2 linked regions of the Lepisosteus oculatus genome follow. The protein of the gene in region 1 interacts with the protein of each later gene in a pairwise test. Links are inferred from orthologs where the notes say so. Each region holds a gene or a part of one and is shown in the gene's direction. Other genes may lie near its edges.

Region 1 (7,426 bases):
CAGGAATGTTAAGAAATGCATGTTCATTTAGACTTTGAGTGCCAGCAATGTTATTTAGGATGTCTGAGGTCACATGGTACTGATTTACATTAAAATGCTGATCACTCCTGGTTTGCACATACAGCTCATAAGGGGTAACCTCATGTTAACAGTTGTTGTCAGGGGCTTAATGCAGCATTTACAATAGAGTTAGGCCTATTACAGTTATGCTTTGTTTCCTTGTTTTATTTTCAGGCCCAGTCTGTGTGGGTAAGATTCTGTATTGTTTCTTTTTCCTGTGAAGAAAAGAAAGAGATTGTCTAACTTGGCAGAGACATTACTTCAGAAAACAAACGGAACATGTTTTCCGACAAAAGCGCAGGTTTGACAGATCATTTAAATAGTAGTAAGCTGCCACCTAGTGTCAACAGCTGAGAATGCAAGGGGGGACACTGGTCGTGAAGTTTAATGTAGAGTAATAGCATGAGACCTTAGACATCTCAAATAACGAACATGCCATTTCTTAACACCCCCTGTCCACCTAGAATAATAGCAAAATTCTAGGACCATGAGGAATTGTAATTAATTGCTTACCCACTACAAAGCAGTTTACCTAGAGAAGTTACAGGGTAAGGAAGCACTTCAGGCAGGTCAGTGTGTCCATGTGTATAAACTCAAATCGATCATTTTCATTTACAATAAAGCAGACGTAATCCATGTATAGTGGCAGCACCAGAAACCATTTTTAGTGAGGGCTTAGCATGTGGGAGAGTGAAGACATGATGAATTTTTTGGTTTAATATGCTCTGGTGTTTGCCTGTGGTAACAGCAACCTCTGAAACCACAAATGTGGCCAATCCTATATAGTTACCCTGTACTTTATGAGACAGACTTTTAAACAACACAGGTATCGCCAAATGGATTTCATAAAGTGGTGTGACTTAGTCCCCAAGCATAATGACAGACAACTCAACCCTCCCAGTCTAGATCTACATCTAAAGAGATTTAGATTAGCAGTGCTAGTGTGTTTCAGCACAGTAACAGAAAATCCCTTCTTTCAGTGTAAGAATACAGTACCTTTTGCTCCTTTGATACCCTCCAGTTTCCAGGACAGAAGCCTTCCCCAGATTGCTACGATTGTTATTTAAATTCTTCATTAGTTTAGTTGGAACAATTTCAGTCAGAACTGCGTCTGACATGTTTTTAGATACCACTGACCAAGTTATGATGCAAGAAATAAAAGGTAAATATAAATGTAATTGTAAAATTTCCCTCATGACTGCTTCACACATTTATGACTGCACGGTCCTGTGCACTTGTGAAGCTGAGTTTGGTTTTACGACATAAAAAATTGCAGCTCTCAAGTGATGCATCTCAAACTTCCTTGTAGCACAACCCTAATTAACTAGCCTCCAGTTACAACATTAACATGCAATTAGTTTCTGAAAGTTACCGATCCACTTTGATTACTAATCTTTAGCATTTTGAACAAGATTGGATGAGATTACAAGGACTGAGAACAAACAGAAATGAAAGTTTATAGAGTGTAGTAAATCCAGAGGTCAAGACTGAACCAAAACAGTCTTTCATTCTTCCATTTTTTTCTCATTTGTTTTCGTGTTGAATCATGAAAACAAATTAGATAATTACCCAGAGAGCACCAGGAAGTGCACCTGAAACACTGAATATTAACATTGCAACTATAATTAGTGTAGATTTATCAAAAAACAGTAGGAGGTATAGAAGTTTCCATCTAGCACAATTTCACTTGTCAGTAAGAATCAGTCCTATGCTTGTCTAGACATGCATTATGTCTAATGCACCTATTTAGAAAACATTCAAAACTGATTTATGGTATGAATGCTTACGGTTTCTTACAAAACTGACGTGTGGAAGTTCAAGAAGAAGTCTGTATGTATATAGTGAAGTGCCTTTAAAACTGCAAACAGGAGGTGTCTCTTTACCCAAAGGGTTGCGGGAGTATGGAACAAACCGCTCGGCCATCTTCTTGAAGCTGAGACATTGGCTCCTTCCAAGAAACAGCTAGAGGTTATATCCAGAAATAACTGGTTAACTACCAAAACAGGAGGGATGTGCCAAAGGGGCTCCTCTCATTTGTAACATATCAGACAGAGAAGCTTAAGTATTTTAAGGTCAATGATTCTTTGTTGGTTTTGTTCTACTGGCCCTGCCTTGAATCTGTGCTAACTTTTACCCTGATCTGCTGGTTTGGTAACCTGAATCTGAGAAGCAAGAACAAACTGGGCAGCCTTGTGAAAATATGTCAGAAGGTCCTTGGTGCTGATCTTCCAGCCATCTCCTCCATCTATCATTCACGTGTTTTACACAAAGCAAAATCCATCTGCAATGATCATTCACACCCCTTGTTTAATAATTTACAGTTACTCCCATCAGAACACAGATACCGACTCTCCAGCTCCAAAACCAACAGATTCATACCTGTAGCCATATCCTTACGTAACTCTTGACCTTCAATGTAAATATGTATGTATATTGTTGTTCCTGTCTTTTTGTTCTGTTTGTCTGTACACCAACACTGCTGCTGTAAAACAACTTGCTTCCCCTGGGGTAATAAAGACACTCTTTCTCTCTAAACTCATACCCAGTGCTGACAATCCCTAATCCCTGGTCTCAGGGTGTCTTTTGAGCAAAACTGCTGAACTGAGTGAAAATTCCTTTGGAAATGAAGGGAGTTGGCAGACAATTAATCACCACTTTCTTAAAGTCTGGCTCTTCAGAAAAAGCTAAACGAACTACTTTACAACACAGAGAAACATACTTTCTTTTAATAAAAAAAAAGACCACTGAGGACCAAATGTTTCTCTTTGCATTCATAAACTGTAACTCTTTGGAAGTATTTTGAAACAAATATATTTTTCTCCCCAACTGTTATGTTCAGTCACACACAGATGAAAATGAACAGGGCACTTCGGACAGCATGAGGGACAAGACCAACAGTACTAAGGAAGGTAGTCAATTGCATGGAGACAAGAGATAAATGAATTATGATTGGTGTACTTACATTTTTTAATTTAGGTTACAAAACAAGTCAATTGAGAATAAATTCTCATTTACAGCAACATCCTTGAGACTCGTTTCTGCATTTTTTGGACCAATCTGAGCATGACCCTTCACTCAAGGGTGCGACAATCGCAACCCATTTAGGATTTGAACCTGTAGCCCTCTGATTTGGGGGTAAAAGCCGTGACCTATACTCCACACCACTGCCTGTAGTGTAAGACATATCTTGTTGTACATGAAACACCTCACTGGAGACGGGCTAACCTGAACTAATTCTTCTCTCTAAAGAGTATCTTGTCTTGTCAGCTGGAGTGATTCTTAAGACTGGGGCACTTCCAGTTTATCTGTATGGAGATGTGCAGATTGTAAAACAAAGTTGTGAGTAGTTTATTATTGCCATGAATTAAGGTTCCAGTTTCACACAAGCCAGGCTTAGCCTATAGCTAGGGATTGTAATTCTTCAATTAAGACCCAACACAGAAAGATGGGCAGGATGGTTGGTCCCTTTTCAGGCCATTAAGGCCCAGGGGGAATGGGGGGGCAAGGGCCACCATTATTCCTCAACCATCTGACACTGGAGGTGGAGGTGATGAGGTCAGCACCACGCGCCAGCCAGCCTGTTACCCCCAGAAGGATTAACCCCCAGTACTCTAGTGGAAAGCAGGCTGAGTGGACCTGGGAGCCCTCTGGAAGGAATTAGAGCAAGCTACATCACCTGCCCCCTACCCGGGACTGAACTCTGGACTTTCTGGTCAGGAGCTAGACTTCAACTTCGTCAGCTTCTTCCTAGTCTCCTCTCTGGAGGAGGAGGGTATTTTCTATACAGAAGCTGTGCTTCATATTCGTTGTTTTGCTTCATTATGTGTTCGGCCCATCTTGCATAGATTGTTACTTCCTATGCTGGTAATCGAAAACAAAATTTTCATAAAACATCAACTCAAATTATTTTGAAGCAAAGGCACACGGGACACCCTGCAGCCTTTGTGGAAACCGTGTGTTTGGCTGTACAATATGGTGTGCTGAGGCTGTTCGTTTGCCAATGGACTGAGTTCAAGCAGATTGCATAGGTGCACAGTTTTTCCATAAAGACCCTGAATTCTCCTCACTGCTCTCCTTCATAGCTGGCAGCTTGTCTACACTTGTGAATACACCACCACTCATGGGCATAGCATCTTTTATTTAATATTTACTGTTATTCAAAGAAAACCAAAACCGTGAGTTTAAAGGATGCTGCAGTAATTGGGTGCTTTTTGTAATTACATTCGTTACCTAATGATTTGGTTTGTGCAATCAGATATTAAATCGACTGTAACTTCCAGAAAAACGGACAAACAGAAGAGTTATCGTAAACTGCCCAAGGAAAACGCCTGAACATTGAACGCGGCACCGGGCTGAAAAAGTGGACTCTGTCTCTTTAAAAAGCGTTCCCCCAGTCTCCGGCTCAGGCAGTGTGTGTGTATACGGTTTCTCATCCCCCGCTCCGGCTCGTTATTGTTTATCATCGTCGTTTTGTCAGGTCATGGCTGCTCATTGTGCTGAAGAACCCTTCCCTTTCCACGGACTGCTTCCCAAAAAAGAGACCGGGGCCGCGTCCTTCCTTTGTCGGTACCCCGAGTACGATGGTCGGGGCGTCCTCATCGCCATCCTCGATACCGGCGTGGACCCAGGGGCCCCGGGTATGCAGGTAACACCAGCAGGGGGAGTGCGGGGAGGTGCAGGCCGCACGTCGGCAGCCGCCGGAGTCACTTGATGGAAGTTACCCGGCAGGAAGCCGGCTGTGCGGCGTGGGACAGTGACTTTATGCATGGTCGCTTCTCCACAGGCCTGCATCGGTGAAGTCGGTTAACAATGGCACATTGCCGTGTCCAGTCATCTCTTGTGTATCTGGGCACCCTGAGCGAGACTTGTTTGTTGACGTTTGTTTTGCATCGCTAGCTGTTCCCAGCTCTGCTTTGCTTTGCTTACCATTTTCAATCGCAATTTCCTTCAGGGTTTTCTTTTAGCTGAAACGTTTTTGAACAGTGCCAGCTGCAACAGGGCAGGGGTTGTCCCGTTTCATATTTTTGAATGAAATTTGTCTTTTATCGGAGCTGGTGGAGATAAAAAAAAAACAACATCCTCAAGGTGATGAAATGAGATGGAAAACGCTGGGCATTAAAACAAAAATCCAGTTGTAGGAATTTAATGTGTATTATTGCAGCTAAAATCGACAAAAAAAACCCAACTTAGCTGACATCATTTATATGAGTAGTTATACTGATATATTTTAATTATGAATCTGACAGTGTAATATAAACAAACCTAGCACTGATTTATCATTTATTGTAAGTGAATTTATTTTGCCCATCAAATAAAAAAAAAAAAGATCATGGTCCATTTTAATTTATTCATTATTCTGATTTGTTTTTATTTTAATCAAATCTGTTGTGAGGTTAGCAGGATTTCATATAACTTGATTCTGAAGTGCTCAGTTTTTCAATAATGTCAATTCTGTTTTCTTTTGAAATATGTCTACATCACAGAACACTTTTTAGACACTTTTAGACACTAGTTTGGGTGCATTTTTCTCCCCATCTGTATTTTTTGCACACAGGGAGAAAAATAAAATTTAGTTCTGGCTATTTTTTCAGTGTCTGAAAGGGCTTTAGGCAGCGATACTGCAGTGATCCACCGAGCTCCGAGAAAAGTTGAAAGCCGTCAATAACTGAATCTGACCTATTTACCTCTTGCCATGTATTGATGTGTTTATTTGTACATGAATACATCAATCCAGTCTTTTATACTAGAAGTTAGCCATTTGCAAAATTGTCCAGAATGGCTAAAAACATTGCTTGCTCTTTTGTACTTCTCCGTGGGAGAAGCCAAAGACAAATTCCCAACAGCAGTGGACAATAAAGTATCTACCCCTTCGATTGAAAGGGCTTCCCTCGTAGTTGTCTTCTTGATTTCTGCAAGCAGGTATTGACAGAGTGCGGCCGCCCACCAGGACCAGCGGCTGCACACGCCTCGAGCTCTCGGTCATCTCTCGCGGTCAAAACGTTCTCTTTTTAGGTGACGTCCGATGGGAAGCCGAAGATCGTGGATATCATCGACACGACGGGCAGTGGGGATGTGAACATGTCCACGGTGGTGGAGCCGAAGGACGGCATTGTGGTGGGCCTGTCGGGGAGGACGTTGAAGGTCAGGCCCCTCGGTCAGCAGAGTCTGTGCTCTCTTCCTGTCCTGCCTTTGTAGCTTGATGGCGACAGCTGTGCTGCATTCAGTGGAGGTGGCCATGCGCTCTGTGTGGTTGCCTGTGTTTTAGCTCTTCTGCCGCTCTGATGAGTAGAGAGAAATGTCCAGGGCCTTCTTAGGGTCAAACAGACCTGAGGAGCTTACTCCAGCCCGCTGTGATTCACGTCCATTCGTTTACATGAACTTCTTGACCTTTGAACGGGAGGTTCCCCTTTTACCCGGAACCACGCAGAAATGTTCTTCAGTAGCCGAAAAATCGATGCCTTTCGAAATCCTTTTGTGTTGATACTGTTTTTAATGCAAAAGGTGCAGTCTCACGCCATCGTGTCTGTTGCTCTTGTAGATTCCTGCAACATGGATAAACCCATCGGGGAAGTATCACATCGGTGTCAAAAATGGATACGAGTTTTTTCCAAAAGCCCTGAAAGAGAGAGTACAGGTAACAGTGCATGCACGTTCTACTTTCGACTTAAGTATTTTTTATTGATACTCGGTAACTCAGTGGCTGTTGCAGCCCTCTCAAGCACAAGTAAATAAACAGTGGGAACACTATATATTGGTTTTGTTGTCCCGTTCAATCCCATTTTCTCCCACTCAATGTAATGTGCAAATTACCCACTATGTTGTCTCAAGGCTTATTTTGTTTTTTTCTTTTCAGCCTTCGTTTGACTTTAGCAAAGTGTAATGGGATCATTTAACTCTTGAGCCCTTTGGCTATTTTTACAAGGTAGTAAGTCAAAAACAGATACATTAAGCAGATAGGTAATAGATAAAGGGTCAGGTACACAGATTAAAGCAGTTTCCAATTCAAGGATGCATGAGCTGTATTGGATTTGCTTTTTAATTAAGGTCGATTTTTAGTTCCTCGTGCCCAGTGCCCTACTGTGGGAGCAGGTGTTAAGGTACCTGTGGTTGTCTTTGTGTTTTCTTTGTGCAGAAGGACCGCAAAGAGAAGCTGTGGGACCCGTCCCATCGAGCTGTGCTGGCTGAAGCCTGCCGGAAGCAGGAGGAGTTTGACAGCACGCACACCACTCTGTCCCAGGTCAGCTGGACAACTGCTGAACAGTCACACGCTGAACACAGGGCCGTCAGTGGCTCTGCTGATCCTGATGAACACCTACCACACCATCAGTGCACAGCAGACTGAGCCCAGCTCTTTGAGTGGCTCTGT
Region 2 (7,083 bases), on another chromosome or scaffold:
AGGTTTTGAAACACCGATTTCACCCATAAAGGTAGTCGGCCTCTAACAATGGTCTAATTATGGAGCAAGGATGCTAGGCACCCTTAGGTCTGTGAGGAATACCTTCCAGTGGTCAACAGCAGAACTGATCTCAGGCAGTAACTCTCCTGGTGTCCCTCAAAGCTGCACAGAGCATTTCTGGGGTATTACATCTGAAGGAAAATGAGATGTTATAGTTGTCCGTGTCCTGAGGATAAACCTCTCACATCACTGAATCAATAGACAATATAAATTATTTTGTTTGTATCATGAATATGCAGCATTTTGCAACTTGAATTGATGTTTTTTTCATTTTAAATACAAATATACATAGAAACTTAATCTGATGGGAGCTTTCCTGGCACTGGTCTATACAATCTCTGAGGTGAAATGTACTTTCTCTAAAGATCAGACTGGAAAGGATCAGAATGGCCTGAAGCTTTGTTAATCTTTGATTCCCAGTTTGGTCACCAAGGGAGAGGAATAATGGTCGCTACACTGGCCCATCAGAGAATACAAATTAAAGGTAATGGGACCCACACCCATCCTTGGTCTTGTACAACGGCCAGTGGCTGTTTCTGATGTGAATAGTATATAGTCATCTACACAAAACTAGCACAGTGCAGGCTGACACCAAGAGCCACAGATGATCTAAGCTGCCACCCCAGAAGGGTGTTATAAACAGAACCTAAAATATACATAGGAGCTCTGCTGTGTCTGTGGGCTATACAGTACATTATACATGAGAGCTGTATAGAGGAGGTAAGCACAGCTCACGTCTTTTTAAATTAGGTACCAGTAAGAAGCGAACAGTTTATTTTCTCACAGAAGGACACAATAAAGTCATTAAACAACACGTAAATCTGCCGTGGTGCTAATTTACAAGGTTCAGCAGGCACTTAAAAAGCCCCTTCCTGATTTTGAGCAGTAGGACTTTGTTCTTCCTTTTCTAATCAGATTCCCTACGACTCCAGGAGCCACTGCACTGACCTGACAATAGCCAGGGATGCCAGGGGGAGAGAGCTCTCTGTTTGTTGCAGTCTGCAGGAGAGATCAATGATTCCACTCATGCCAGCACTATCTCCCTCACACACCGAGATTATCCTCAGCTGTGTAAAAGACACACTCAGCTGGAAACGCAACGCACAAAAAAAGTCATCAAGGAGGGTTTTCAAGCCTTGTCTTCCCTAGACAAAAGAGCAGTGTCTTTCACTTCCAGCTGTTGTGTTAATCTGCTTTTTAAATTATTTATTTTACTGTTATTTGCCCAGACGATATCAAGGCAACTTACAATACAAATGTGGGAATCTGGAATATGTTAGCCAGCCATGGTGTTGAAGGCAGTTCCCCTGGTTATGTTAAATGAGATGGGATCTTGAGGAGGTGGGTAAGATGAAATACAGTAGCTACTACCAAATGGACTAGATTGACCAAATGGCCTCTTCTTATATGAAACTCTTTTTGTACTATGTAGTGGTCAGATGGACATTATTTTTCAGTGACCTGTTTCTGGACTGAACAGTAAACTTTTCCCGTTTACAACCGTTTTTGTGCAATATATGCCAGGGACCTGTGCAATACATTTATAGTTATATTCATATTGTGCAATATGACTTTTTTGTGGACTGTTCTGTTCTTGTTTGTTCTTTGCATGTTCTGGACTGTGAGTAACTCTTCTTAGTGCACTTCTCACTGTACTGATTGTATTGTATTATTATTATTGTACCATGTTACACTGTTGCTGTGTTATCTGTGTTAAGCTGCTGTTGCACTGTAATTTCCCTCACGGGATCAATAAAGTATCTATCTTTAAGTAGTTCAAGTAGGTAGCCGTGTCAGCATGTGTAGGCTGCAAAGGAACAAGTAAAGGTTTATTTGTTGCTGAAAAGAGAAGAAAAGAAACACAGCACTTGGGCTGTTGAGCCTTCTTTGGGTGGCACTAATTTATGAAGCATAAAAGTCATAAAAGGTTCTGTATGCTACTCAAACAAGAACATCTACACTTTCATAGTGGTCTGTATGATAGAAAATTTCCACAAAACAAAAAGAGTCTCAGTGGTGTAAAGATTCACAACGAGCTTAAAATAATCATGGTGAGCCAACTGCTGTGTATGTTTAAAGAAAATAATAACGGGGAATGCTTGCTAATCTGTATTTTATTGCAGTATCACTTAACAGGGATTCTGAGCTAACTTTATTTGTCTGCAGTTTCTGTATTTTATTGCAAGGAAGAGAAGATGTATATATTTATCTTAGAACAAAGTATTTTTCCTGTAATGTCAAAACATGATGTGTGTTTTGTGTGTAACAAATGTTTGATCAAAGCAGCATGGGAGACTGTATGGAGCCGAGGGAGTGAGGCTGTAGGGTTAGTTTTTAGAGCTGATACCCTCTTTCTGGGGGAAATTCATTTTTAATGTGCTTGTTAATGCGTCCAAAGGAAACTAAAGAACTCAGTTTGTCTAGACTGTGGCAATGAAGTTTCACACAGGTTGCAAACAATTTGTGGGCAGGATCATTTCATATTTTTCTAGAAAAATGCCAGATCAGGTATCCTGCAGTCATCCTTGCAGTAATCTTTCTTATATAATGGACAATATATTTAGTCAGAAATTGTGTTTTCAGCCTCCTTCACTCAGCTCATCAAAACACGAAGAACTGCTTATGGACCATAGGCAGGCTGATTCCTGTACAGTGAGCTCCCCCTGTGGTCTGTAGTGTGCTCAGCTACTGCAGTAAGCATCCCGATTCCCTTAACTTGTATTATCATGTTAATGCTATAATACAAGTTTCCTGTAATTGTAGTTTAAACTGGTAATAAACCAACAAAATGTGGATCCCTATTGAACATTACATACTGGAGAGGGCTGGAAACAGAATATTAACAGTCTCATACAGACTTTTGTTTTCTGTCAATAGTAGACTGATTTTGTGTAGCTCCCAATTAGATGACACATGTCAGCCATTATATGACAGCAGCTGCAGATAAGGTAACATAACATAACATAACATAACATAACATCACTTTATTAGCCCTATACAATTTATTGCATTAAGAATTTTTCTTCGAATACCCCAGCTTACTCTCCATGAAGAGGAGGTAGAAGAGTGAAACTGAAGGAGGTCAAAGTGTGCAGGCACTAAGTGGAATTCAGTCAGGATATTGTTAACATCCCTAAACATATGAATACTGCAATAGGATCTTTACCAAATAGTAAGGGCTTCAGTTTAACGTCCCTTCCAGAGAAAGAACCTGCTTCAACCCTGTATCTCTGCTCACTATTCTGGGGAACGGGGGTGGAAATTTTGGTCCAGCCTTTTGACAGTTTAGGCCAGGGGTAGTTAACTTTGGCACCCTAGATTATCAGCCACTCCAGGATTTTACTCCATTTTATCTTTAATTTTCTGGTAAATTAATTAAGGATCAATTCCCCCCAGGCTCAAAATGCTGTAATGCCAAGAATTCCAGTTGTCAAGGTTGACTACCCGTGGTTTAGTAGGCAGTCACTCGTCATTATTCTTGATGTTACTCTTATTTCACAAATACCGAATACAAATACAGAAAAAGACATGCCGACGCCAAGGGCTTCTCCTTCATAACCGATTTACTGCGATCCTCACAGTACTTTGTAACGGTAAACTCTCCCTCTGCTCACTTAAACCGTTTGAATTTTTATATTTCTTCGTGTAAGCTTGCTCAGGGAGTTTCTTGTTGATTTACCAGTTGTCTGTGACCGCCTGAGTTTTGTTTTTATCCGTTTATGAGAAAATATTGATTTTTCACAAACTTCCAATTCCTACAGACGCATCTAAACTGTTTTTCTGGATTTTACGTTAGTTCGAATTGTAACCTCATTATCCGATGATTGCTGTACAAAATACTCTAAACTTTATTAATATTTGTTATATTTATTACTACTGTATATAATTATTTTCTATTTATCCATTCTGCGCCTTCGAAAAAACGTCCCATACCGCTGAGCTGTTCCCGGTCGCCGCTTGATGTCGTCAGGAAAAGGTCCGGAAACGAGAACGGTTGTTATGGAGAAGCATTTCCCCTGAGGGATAGAAAGAGAGAGAGAGGAACTGGAAAATAGAGCGAGAGAGCGAGGACGGGAAGCACGAATGGGAAAAGTGAGGAAGCTGTGACAGCGGCTCCTTCAACAGGTAGGTCGATCATCGTTTGATTTTGTTTCTTTCATGCCTTGTACTGTTTTCAATGGCTTATCGGAGCTACTTCGAATTCGGAGCAAAGCCAGGCGAAGCGGCGGCGTAGTTGCGGGAAGTTCAGCAGCAACACGATGTCAGTGGCAGGCAGCACCGCTCACCTCGCCGTGGCGGCTGAGTTCACGGGGCTGACTCCATAGCTGTTCTGTCTCTTTCTCCAAAAGGCTAGGTTGTGTCGGAATCGGGTAGGCGTTGCTTTGCACTCGTTTTCTGCAGGGGTGTGAAGAGTTGCCCTTTTCGTTTTCTTATGGGAGTTTCTCAAGCAGCGCAACAGGCGGCTCTGGGATCTTGATACTGGCCTGACGTGTCTAGCGTGTGTCAGGGTTGCTTTTAGTCTCTCACTTTTACTATTGTTGGAGAGATGCTGAGAGACGTGGTGGGTGCGAGTTCGCTTCATTTAACCTGTAGAGAGAGACAGGGAAAGCCTATTTCATGCTCTAACAGAACCGCGGTTTCTGTCCAGACTGAACAATTAAAATGGTGCTGTAATTAAGTCTCTGTCATCACAGTGACCTGACATTGTCTTCTTCTGTCCTACAAGAGAGAGCAGCGTGCTGTTTTTGTAAGTACTATCATTTTTTAAAACTTTTTACAACCCAGAGGCTCAGCCGTAGTAGCCTATTAAGGTCGGATTTCTATATGCTGAGGGAGCAGTGAGTGAACATCATATACAGTAATTAACCTGACGTGACTATGGTTTTAAAGACCGAAAGTTCAAATGATAAGGGTCAGGAAAAGTAAAGGTTACAATAACAGCGGTCTCAGATACAGTACTGTACGGTATTCCCTATCTCTAAACTGGTAGCACGGACACTTTATCAACTGTATAAGACTGTTCCTTAGCACGCTGACTGACAGAACTGATTGGATACTGGCAAATGCAGCACGCTGACTGAATGAATGGCTGGCACAGAGAGACTGCTGACTGAGGGACACTCTCCCTGACTGACGCATTGCTCGAGATACACCAGCAGCTCCCTCTCCTTACTCTCTTCACACTGCTGTGCTGGGCCTCCTGCCAGGGACAGCATCATCTTTGAGCACTCCTTCCAATTCAGCAATTTCATGCATTCTTGTAAAGTAATTGAGCTGCAATTTTATGCTACTTTACATTTATGACCTAACGCTGCTTTGTTCCGTGTTCTTTGAGTGTGTGTGTTCATGCGTGTTTCAGGGCCATTTTTGACTTCTGCTGTATGGCCGCAGTGAAATACAGTGGGAGTTTCCTGGTGCTGTTTAGTCAGCAATGGAACTTGCTTCTCATTTCCTAAAATTGGATCGAATTCTGTTTGTGCCGATTGAGACTGTCTCCAATATGCAAAAACTACTTCAGAAAGAGTGTCAAAATATGGGCTCGGATCCACAGAGATGGACACACGATTAGAAAATGGCAACGGCTGGCTGAAAGTCTGAGAAGAAGAAAGTAGTGGAGTTGGAAATGTCACGTTTCCCCTGCACACACAGATAGCCGAGTAAGACAGTGAACAAGAGGGGAAAACACATCGCTAGGATGCGTGTTGTACATTTAATTGTCTCCAAATGATGTGTCTGCATGAGATCCTGGGCTCGCTGAGCAAGCAAAGCCTTATAATGTAACAAAGGTCAGGGTGGCTGATTGCCTCCTAGACAGACCAACACTTGCAGGGACACCACCAGAGAGTACAATGGGGGGAAGGGCTCAACAGGTGAATTTTTACACTTTCAAAAATGGAAGATCAAAAAGGAGTCGGCATGTCCCAGCGCTTGTTGTTTGTCCCTGTGACAGTTTGGGTCCAGTTCAGTGAAGATGGTAGGAAATTTGTTTTTGGGAGAGTCAAGTTTTTACCAAAACCTTAAACCAGAGTGCCCTGTGATGAGCATAGATTGTGATGAGTTTAAAAGGCACATATATTTGGAAATTATTTTATATGCAGGATTATACTTGTCATGGATTCTAGAAACTTATAGAGTGTTCATTTGGAATCGGTGTGCAGGTGGAACAAATTTTGCAGTTCAGCAAAAAGTTTTGAGCATTGTTTTAACTGTTTCTCTGGGTTTCTCTGCAGCTTGCCGGCTGTGCAGGTTTTGTGCTGTCACTGAGGCTCTGAATGCCTCAGCTCACATGACCTGGATTAAAGTCCACCTGCCTCAGCCTGAGAGCTTTCCTGGCATTGTGACTTAATTGTGTGCAAAACTGTTAGAAAGCCAGAGGGGAAAAATGGTTTATACAAATATTAACCACAGGCTTAACCTACTTCACAGTGTTTCGGGTGAAGGGAAATCTTTTACCCAGTGCACACATGATGCAGATACAGTCTGTCACAATTTGTTTTAAAGCTCATATCAATTCCAGGTACCTTGTACAGTTTTAAAGCCATCATTTGTAATGGAAAAGTCTTTCAATGAGTTTTGTTGGCACAGCTGTATTGCCTGGTTTTCAATACACTGCTACAAGACGTTTGTTGAGGTTTGTAGGATCTGGGCCTAATGGATCTCCTCTCAGATCTCTCTTTCATGTTTCTGTGAATGCAGTTTTAAAGGAGCACCTGCTCATGCTGATTACCATATCACAAGGCCTGATACCAAAGGACTTACAGTAAAACTATAATTAGCAAGCGAACCAATAAGAATTGAGCTGATTTCAAAAGTGAACTGACACTCAGCTAAATAGATAAGCATATCTAGATGCCTATATCCCTGTCTCAGGTGATACATTTCAGTATAGCTCATTTCTTAAACTTTGCTGTTAAACAGCATTGTAGAAGCATGTACAGTACCTTTGTTCCGTGAAGCACAGAGTCAAATATTAAGAAAATCAGTAAGTCTTTTGAAAGGAAACAGGCAAAACTATGCAAAGAT

Evidence for each region.
Region 2: the proteins of tpp2 (region 1) and ppp1r16a interact in binary tests that used the Homo sapiens proteins (3 or more experiments, as listed by UniProt). The two-hybrid records come from large-scale screens. The link is inferred for Lepisosteus oculatus from reciprocal best matches to the Homo sapiens genes TPP2 and PPP1R16A.

What each region holds. Positions count from the first base shown.
Region 1 is NC_090710.1:29,088,178-29,095,603, forward strand, and holds the start of tpp2 (tripeptidyl-peptidase 2), read left to right. Parts: upstream 1-4,419; 5' UTR 4,420-4,540; coding exon 4,541-4,705; intron 4,706-6,072; coding exon 6,073-6,201; intron 6,202-6,598; coding exon 6,599-6,694; intron 6,695-7,192; coding exon 7,193-7,297; intron 7,298-7,426. UniProt on the Homo sapiens protein: Cytosolic tripeptidyl-peptidase that releases N-terminal tripeptides from polypeptides and is a component of the proteolytic cascade acting downstream of the 26S proteasome in the ubiquitin-proteasome pathway.
Region 2 is NC_090701.1:29,029,288-29,036,370, forward strand, and holds the start of ppp1r16a (protein phosphatase 1 regulatory subunit 16A), read left to right. Parts: upstream 1-4,081; 5' UTR 4,082-4,185; intron 4,186-7,083. UniProt on the Homo sapiens protein: Inhibits protein phosphatase 1 activity toward phosphorylase, myosin light chain and myosin substrates.